Bombyx mori: one gene and its partner. The protein of the gene in region 1 purifies or fractionates together with the protein of each later gene. This does not show direct contact. Links are inferred from orthologs where the notes say so. Each region holds a gene or a part of one and is shown on either strand. Other genes may lie near its edges.

Region 1 (4,452 bases):
GGGCCACGAGGTATTTCTGGCGTAGGTACAGACCTCGGGGACATAAGAGGAGGAAATCGTCCGTGAAGATTGTGTTTTCGACCTAACAAGATATCACGAAAAATTTTAAGCCCTTTAGAGATGTCTCTGAAATCCCACTTTGGCTTAGACATATCTTACACTGTAAATCAATCAATCTACAGGCAAAACTTTTACTGGTTTATATGCCAGATTTATAAAATTAATGAAAGTTTGTTTATGCGGTGATGCCAATCAAAGTAAACATAAATAATTAATCATATAAATCATACGTCAATTATTTACTACTTTTATTTCAATTGTTTTGATGTATGAATTATAAAAAACCTGAAACTCCATCGCGGAGGCAGCAGTTGGCGCTAGTCTCTTAATAAAAAAAAAAAAATTAATCAATCATTATGAATGATATATTAGGTATTTAATCCTCTAAGTCTTTAAACGTTACCTCCGCTATTACGTCCGGAGTTGAGCATTTCAAATTTTTCATTTTTACTTTCTCGTAATTAGTACCTACCTATTCACTGACTTTTACATGACGTTTAAATTTCGGAACTCCCGTAATAGAAATATTCAGAGCTTGCCCTTTGCTAAAGAGCTACATATTTAATACGAGATTTCTTTTTTACTGGTGGTAGGACCTTTCGTGAGTCCGCACGGGTAGGTACCACCACCCCGCTTATTTCTGCCGTGAAGCAGTAATGCGTTTCGGTTGAAGGGTGGGGTAAACGTTGTAACTATACTGAGACTTTAGAATTTATATCTCTAGGTGGGTGGCGCATTTACGTTATAGATGTCTATGGGCTCTAGTAACCACTTAACACCAAGTGGGCTGTGAGCTCGTCCACTCACCTACGCAATAAAAAAACAAAGATTACTTCATAGACACGAGCTTCGAGCTTATAATTTTTTTATTCTCTAATGGTCCATTCAGAATACATATTATTATGTCTAACTTTCCTGACCTATAAAACGAATTCCGCACTTGACCAACACTAAATTCCGTTGCATTTAACTTTTCCTACAACAGACGTAAGGGTTTTTGTAAAAGATTTAGCTGTATGGACTATGACTTCTTTGCCTGTGGATCGGACGAATTTTAAAAATAAAAAATCACTAAGTGCGTTAAAAAACTATAGGTATTTACCTAAAACAGAAAGTAATACTTAATTTAAGAAATTGAATATTATATCTTCGTCCTTAAATCACCAGAACAAAACCAGCTTATCTCTGAGAGTAAAAGAGTTTAATCATGGTTTGGATATCAAACTTAAGGAATAACAAAGTAAAACTTTCCGATCTTACATCATAGTGTTTATGATAAAATAAAACTGTGATTCAGGTTTTAGAACGTGTTTAGAACTCCCGCGTATTTCATCAGCTGTCAAAAGTTCATCGTGTTGTTGAATACATAGTTGAGTAGAATGTGTAATTAAAACTATTGAAATATTATAAAGATAAGTACAACTATTAAATTGTTAATAAATTCAAATTATAGTGGTTCATGTTGTGATTTGTTGGTTAATAAACTTTATAAAATGAAAGCAAACAAACCCCTCGATGAAACTGATGTGACTCCATCGAAAAAAAAGCTAAAACAAGCTCGTCTTCCTTTCAAACTAATAAGTGATATTTCCCCTAAACCCAAGTCGCCGCCGACTAGGAAAAGAAAGCTTTCGAATTCTGATACCGAAACAGTTACAAAAATAGGAAAAATATCGAAAGAAAATGATGTTCAAGAGCTGGTCATAATAAGCGACGATGAAAGTAAAGACTCGAAAAAAATGTTAAGCGATGACAAAATTGTAAACCCGTACGTTAAATTGGTTGATGTTGCTTGGAAGAAAAAACAAAAATTGAACAGTGCCAAAAGAAAGCAAATAAAAAAAAAGAATTCAACAGACCTACCCAAAAATGATCAGAATGACACAGATGAAAAGAGCGATGAAGATAAAATGAATGTTGATGAACCAGTGGATAGTCCAGAAAAAAATGTAGACATGACAATTTTAAGTAACAGTACTTCAAGAGTTACAGATAACGAAATTGTTATATTGGAGGACTCTAGTGATCAATTTGATACTAAAATGAAACTAGAAGCTGATATTGAGCCAAAAGCAAATGGCCGGAAATCTCCAAGAGAATCTAAATCTAATAAAATTGAACAAATTGAAAAGTCTGCTGAATACCAAAAGTCACAAAAAGAGAATCCATTAAAAAAAAGGAATGAAAAAGATAGAGAAAGTATATCTTCAGATGAACTAGAAGAAGCTTCTGATGATAGAGACAAGATTGCTGAAAAAGCTTCAGCTGAAATTCAAAAAGAGAATAATGTAACACCAAAAAGGAGCAGCCGGAGTGCAACAAGAATAGCTCAAAGTAACGATGCTAAGAAGTCTCCAGTATCCAGTTTGAATGAATCTCTCTCTTCAGATCCTACATCACCAAAACATAGCAGGAGTTCATCAGTAACAAACAGTCAGGCTGATGAATCTTTGAATGACTCTATGTCTGGTAGAAAGAATTTAACACCTAAACAAGTAAGTTTGAAACTGAATTAAAATAACAAACCTTTATATCTTTTTAATATTATGTTACTGCATTATAAGCTTGATGTATTGAGTCATAGATGAGGGAGAAACTTCTACAATTAAGATAAAAAATTGTCTTACTTGATAATTATTAGTTTAGCTTATGACCATACCCTGTTTCTCTGCTGCTTGCCTTAATAATTTGTTTCAACACATAGTCTCATTGTATTTGTTTTTTCTTTAGGACTAAATTTCATGTAAAGCTGAAATATAATTTTTTATTTATTTTTAGTCTGTCACTGAAACCCGAAAATGTCTCATAAAAATGTTTGTTGTGAAAGAAAAACACACTAACAAACATATTGTTGCATCTAGAGTAATATTTAATTATCATTGTATATAATTTAATATTATTTTTATTTCTCTAGATGGGTAGACAAGTGCAAGGTTCAATCGATGTTGAGTGGTTTCAGAGGCCAATAGATATAATAGTGAACATTATCCAGTTATACAGTGATATAAATGTTTATAAATTGGAAATGAACAAAATCATGCGAATTTTGTTTATTTTTACTTACTTAATTTACGTTATACCCAAATAGACCTGTACATAGGTCTTATCCTTTAAATTATCTAGACTTGCATTTATACTGTGTAGAACATTATTATATCCTTTTTCCATAACAGTTACAGAAAAAATTAGAATCTGCCAAAAAGAAAGAAGAGAGAGAGAAAGAAAAACAGGAAAGGGAGAAAAAAAGACAGCAAGAGAAAGATGAGAGAGCCAGACAAAAACAAGAGAAAGAAGATATGAGAAAAAAGGAAAAGGAGGAAAAAGAGGAACAGAGGCGAAAAGAAAAGGAAGAGAAAGAAAAACAAAAAGAGCTTGAAAAAAGTAAATATAAAATATAATCTAAGACACATTATCAAATCACATCAAAGGGTCAAAGTCCATGTTTTGAGTTACTTATTCGTTTTTGAACATTAGTAAAGTTTATACAAAAATGAGGTATATTTATATCTTTATTCATTACTAGCTGACCCAGCAGACTTCGTAGTGACAGACCTCAATTGATAAATAAAAGACCTAAACTTTTGTATAAAATAAACTTAAAACAAACAAAAAGAATCTGTCCCACGGGGGACACATCAAAGGAAAAACAAAATTGTTTGTTCTTATATAATTCTGAGCATTTTCATATTTATTCACCTTTTAAACCTTCTCTGGACTTCCACGAATAATTCAAAATCAAAATTAGCCAAATCGATCCAGCCATTCTCAAGTTTTAGCGAGACTAACGAACAGCAATTCATTTATATAATTAACTTCCAGAAATAAGGGATGAAAAAGAGGAGCAGAAAAGGAAAGAAAAAGAAGAGAAAGAAGAACAGAAAAGAAAGGAAAAAGAGGCAAAGGAGGAAGAGAAGAGAAAAAAACAAGAGGCTTTAGAATTAGAAAAACAAGAACAAGAACTCAAAAAGAAAAAGACTGTTGAAGCATTTGTCAATTTTTTTGTTCCAAAACAAAAGTCGGATAAAGACCAAGCCACAGTTGGTTCAATCAGTAAAAATAATATGCTATCTAGTTTTACTTTAAAATTAGACATGAGATTAGCACCTACAACTAGAGCTGAATTGAGTGATGATAAGAGACATCAGTTGGACAATTTTATTAAGGAACAGAAGTGCAAAGAACATGAACTATATCTTAAATGCCTTAAGGATGGAAACAGTAAACCTCTTTCTACTGGCAAGACCTGGCCTCTAAGTGACAAAGACGATGATGTTATGATTATTGGTAAGTTATTTCTTCGAAAAAGCGGCGCGACACTATAGTCCTCGTTGCCGCCTCTAATTACAAAACCGACACGGACTACAGGGTAACGTAAAACCACCATTGTCCTAA
Region 2 (4,299 bases), on another chromosome or scaffold:
ATGAAGCAGAGTGTTTTTTAAATAGCCCCTCACCTACATAACCCAAGTCCCCTCAAATTTAACCGTCCAACACATTTAAATGTTTAGTTAAATATTAAATCAACTAAATTTTATTGATTTAACTTATTTCCGAGATCTGGCTTAGCCCAGCCTTGTTATAGTGACACTTAATAATAAATTAAATGGCATCACTGGCTTTTTTATTTACATAATCGTCGGCAGCGATAGTCTAATGCGTTATTTAACGCACGCTTAGTAGGTAATCTCACGGAGCCGAACCTGAAAGGATTTGCTACCAGTGGGCCGAGCAAGAGCGGTGCTTTGTTGTATCTACCACCGGATCGGAATCGCAGCCCACTGAACAGAAGCAGAGAGAAAATTAGCGGGCAGGCTAATGATATAACTGTGGTAATTGTGTTAAAAAATAAAATATAATCTTCGGATGTATATACTGACTTTTTATTTTTACATGAAACAACACAACTAACTACTTGTTGTTAGGCAACAACTATTCTTTTTTAATAAACTTATGATGGTTACAAATAGTAAGGCCAGTTCTAAGAATAACCTCTAAGGGAAATCGTAGAAATTTTATGACAGCTTACTGGACCTTTTGGATGAACCTGAAAACATTTTATTCGACATTAGCGTACTCTTACAAATTTATGACGACTGAAAAGGTCTACTTGGAGGCAGTTGAAGAAGAAAAGGAAGAAAGACAGATGACAGTGACAGAATGTGGAGAGAAGATTTTTTTTATCATAAAAAAAAAATCACGGTGCCCGCTATAGAAAGCAGAGTATTAAATACACTTGACATTGGCGAAATCTAAAAGGAAACGCCATAAACCTAAAAGATAGATAGTTATCTAAAAGCCTTTATAAAACTGATTGTGACATTAACATAAAAACCATAGTGAATAAGAATATTTAATTAAATATACCCTACATGAAAGGTCTTTATACGTTTAACTTTTAAACACCTTCATCATCTTACTTCGTTTTGTGTAATTCCAATTCATCTAGTTTCGTGTAGATTAAAAACAATTTATGTTACTTCTCTCAACGAAAAAGTCTCAGTAAAAAATCAAATACTTAGACTATATTTCATCCCGTACAATCTCGTTTTAATTTCATTTTAATTGATTAATAATAATATCTAAAATTCATCAACTTCATTTCATTTTGCTCCATTAAATTTTTCATAAAACAGATTTTACAGAATATTGGGGTGTACGGTACGATACCTTCGCTTTTCCAGTTGAAAAAATGGGACTACCGCTAGGTAAAACTTCAATTTGACACTTTTGTTTTGGCGCCAAATAACTATAAACAGTAAAAATAAGCTAGCTTCCTAACAATTATTGTAGAAATTGATTGAAATACATCTTATCTTATTTGGATTTAAATTTATATTATTACTTCGTTTACCATTTCTATTAAATTTTAAATATTAGAAAAAAATGAAGTTTGCGATACCAGAAATATCCTGGCATAATCGTGATCCAGTTCTAAGTGTAGATTTTCAGCCCAAAGCGGAACCGAATGACCCGTTACGACTCGCCAGCGGTGGAACAGATTCACACGTTTTGGTAAAACTATCTTTTAATAAGAACGAACAAATAATCATTTATATTTTTATCAGCGATTATTTATACTAATGTTATTGAAAAAAAATTGAATTTAATACTAAAGTAGGATATAAAGTCTATATTTTTTTAATACTAGATCTGGTATTTATCAACCACGGAGACGGGTTCAGTTCATCTTGAAGTAGCAGCTGATTTAACAAGGCATCAGAAAGCTGTGAATGTAGTGAGATGGTCACCTAATGGACAGTTATTGGCTTCTGGGGATGATGAGTCCATCATATTCATTTGGAAGCAGAAACTGGAAGAACTTTCTCCGGCAACTGAGGGTGAGGAGCAATATAAAGAAACTTGGGTTGTTTATAAGGTGAGATTTTCTTCATTATCTACTAGATATAATCTGGCTATACATATTCCACGTAATGCCCAATTGTTCTTAGCCTCATCTCTTTTCAGTTACATACCAACCAATACCAAGTATACACTTTCTTTTTTTTTTACAAAATTTCACTCTTGGTTTGCTATTAAAAACTTATAGGTATTCTGTTTTCAAAATGTCATTAAAAATGCATTAAACCAAAGAAAGCCCAGAAACCCTGATTTTCATTTTGCAATAGTATTTTTGTAACAAATATCTTAAACGTACACATTTTACCTAAACATGTGGCTATTTTGAAATGTGGTGGCTGATTCTTCATCTTTTAAAAAGCTAACCTAATTACAGTCAGTCAAAAGTACTGAACAAAAACAGAATTAAAATACAATTAATATGCAGTAATTGTCATGTTTACATGAATAGCATAATTATTTCAAATTTATAAAGAGTAATGGTAAGAATTATTCCACAAAACAGACTCTTCGAGGGCACATGGAAGATGTCCTTGACATATCCTGGAGTATGGACGGCTTACAGTTGGCTTCTGGCTCAGTAGATAACAAATTAATTGTTTGGGACATACACAGAGCTCGTTACACTACTATACTTAGTGACCACAAAGGGTTTGTGCAAGGTGTCTGTTGGGATCCTAAAGGACAGTACATAACATCTACGAGTACAGACAGGTAAGCTGAAAATAATAATTTAAAACAATAATTTAACAGAGTAATCTCATCATAAGTAGTTACAAATATTAATGATATCAAATTAGTTGTAAAAAAGTAGCTTCTATACCTGATGAAAATATCAAAAAGGTGATGATTGGAATAACAAAGTTAGCACCCTTGACTGCTAGACAGGATTGTTGGCTTGATGCCTGCTTTGGGCAATTTGCATCTAGGTGTTTAAATCTATATTAATATGTTCATATGAGTTTTTGTTTCTCATAGTAGAGGGAATCCTAATTTGATTAATTGATTATTCATTCAATATTATAAAAGACTTGAAAATGTAATGTAAATAGTTCATATCAACAGAGTGTTTCGAGCATTTGATGTATCTACCAAGAAGGTTGTATCAAGAAGCAGCAAAGCATCTCTCCCGTTCCCCACTGACCATCCTCTCCACGGCTCCAGACAACGGCTATACCATGATGACACACTCCAAACATATTACCGACGACTGCAGTTCAGCCCGGACGGCCTATACATTGCAGTTCCAGCAGGGAGAGTGGAGCCAGAGGGAAAACCTGATGTAAAACCAATCAATGCCGTGTATATCTATACGAGATATTGTTTGAAAATGTGAGTATTTTAATTCATTGTTTTCAGAATCCATAGACTCAGATGTGACAAGCTAACTTTTTGCTTTCAATACGGTTTCCAGATTTGAAATTGCACACAATTGCATGATAAGGTTGTTTTAAAAATGTTCAAGCTCAACAGTTTTATTCTGCTGATAGAAAATATCAGATTTATTTGTATGGCATGTGATATGTTGCAATTGGAGAACTCAGTTGACTTTCAGTTCAAGATTTCTTTATCTAGTTTAAATAAATAATAGCAGCTAATAGCTTCCACTCATCTATAATGCAAAAATTTATTTAACCAAGGCTCATGGTTGCATCTTCACTTGCAGCATGTTGCATGAGAGGCACTCATATAACTGTCCGTTACAGCCCAGTGTGTGTGGTACCATGCGGCGAGCCAGCCCTGGTGACCCGCTGGTCGCCGATAGGGTTCCGCCCCCGCGCCGCCGGGCCCGCGCCTCGCCTGCCGTCCCCGAGCGGAGCCCGGCACGTGCTGGCCGTGGGGACCAGGCGCTCCGTGTTGGTGTACGACACACAACAGAAGACTCCCATAGCCATAGTTGCCAATGTACATTACACTAGGTAACCAACTATCTTGATAATACAAAATAACAAAAAATTATTAGTAATAGTGGTTTAATCTTGACAGATAGATACCAATAATATTTTTTTTATTAAATGCTCAACATATCAAGTTCATAACATTACATCCATGATGTACTAGTGATATAGTTTTGTAAAATTAAAGAAAATTTCTGCTCGACCGATTGAGGCATGTGAACTCCCATGAGAATGGATCTTAGCCAAAAAGGAGTCGCAAATTTACCAACTGGAGAAACTTAGATACCTACTATAATCGATTTTGTTAATTTAAAATCTTGAAATTTATAAAACATTTCACATTAATGGATCTGTTTTGTGGTCACCAAATGCATAAACAAGCATGAGATTAGACCATATAGCTGATTAATAAATTTTTTATTTTTGTTTTTATTAATGGCAATCTGCCTATAATTTCAGCAATTT

What was found.
Region 2: the proteins of chromatin assembly factor 1 subunit A (region 1) and chromatin assembly factor 1 subunit B purify together in Drosophila melanogaster (affinity purification with western blotting; 3 studies listed by BioGRID, with this or other methods). This does not show direct contact. The link is inferred for Bombyx mori from reciprocal best matches to the Drosophila melanogaster genes Caf1-180 and Caf1-105.

Annotation. Positions count from the first base shown.
Region 1 is NC_085127.1:6,281,832-6,286,283, reverse strand, and holds the start of chromatin assembly factor 1 subunit A, read left to right. Parts: upstream 1-1,355; 5' UTR 1,356-1,553; coding exon 1,554-2,555; intron 2,556-3,233; coding exon 3,234-3,441; intron 3,442-3,879; coding exon 3,880-4,344; intron 4,345-4,452. Other genes in the region: uncharacterized protein LOC101735561, read right to left, coding at 464-491.
Region 2 is NC_085118.1:948,187-952,485, forward strand, and holds the start of chromatin assembly factor 1 subunit B, read left to right. Parts: upstream 1-1,290; 5' UTR 1,291-1,462; coding exon 1,463-1,591; intron 1,592-1,727; coding exon 1,728-1,955; intron 1,956-2,441; coding exon 2,442-2,650; intron 2,651-3,001; coding exon 3,002-3,268; intron 3,269-3,642; coding exon 3,643-3,855; intron 3,856-4,299.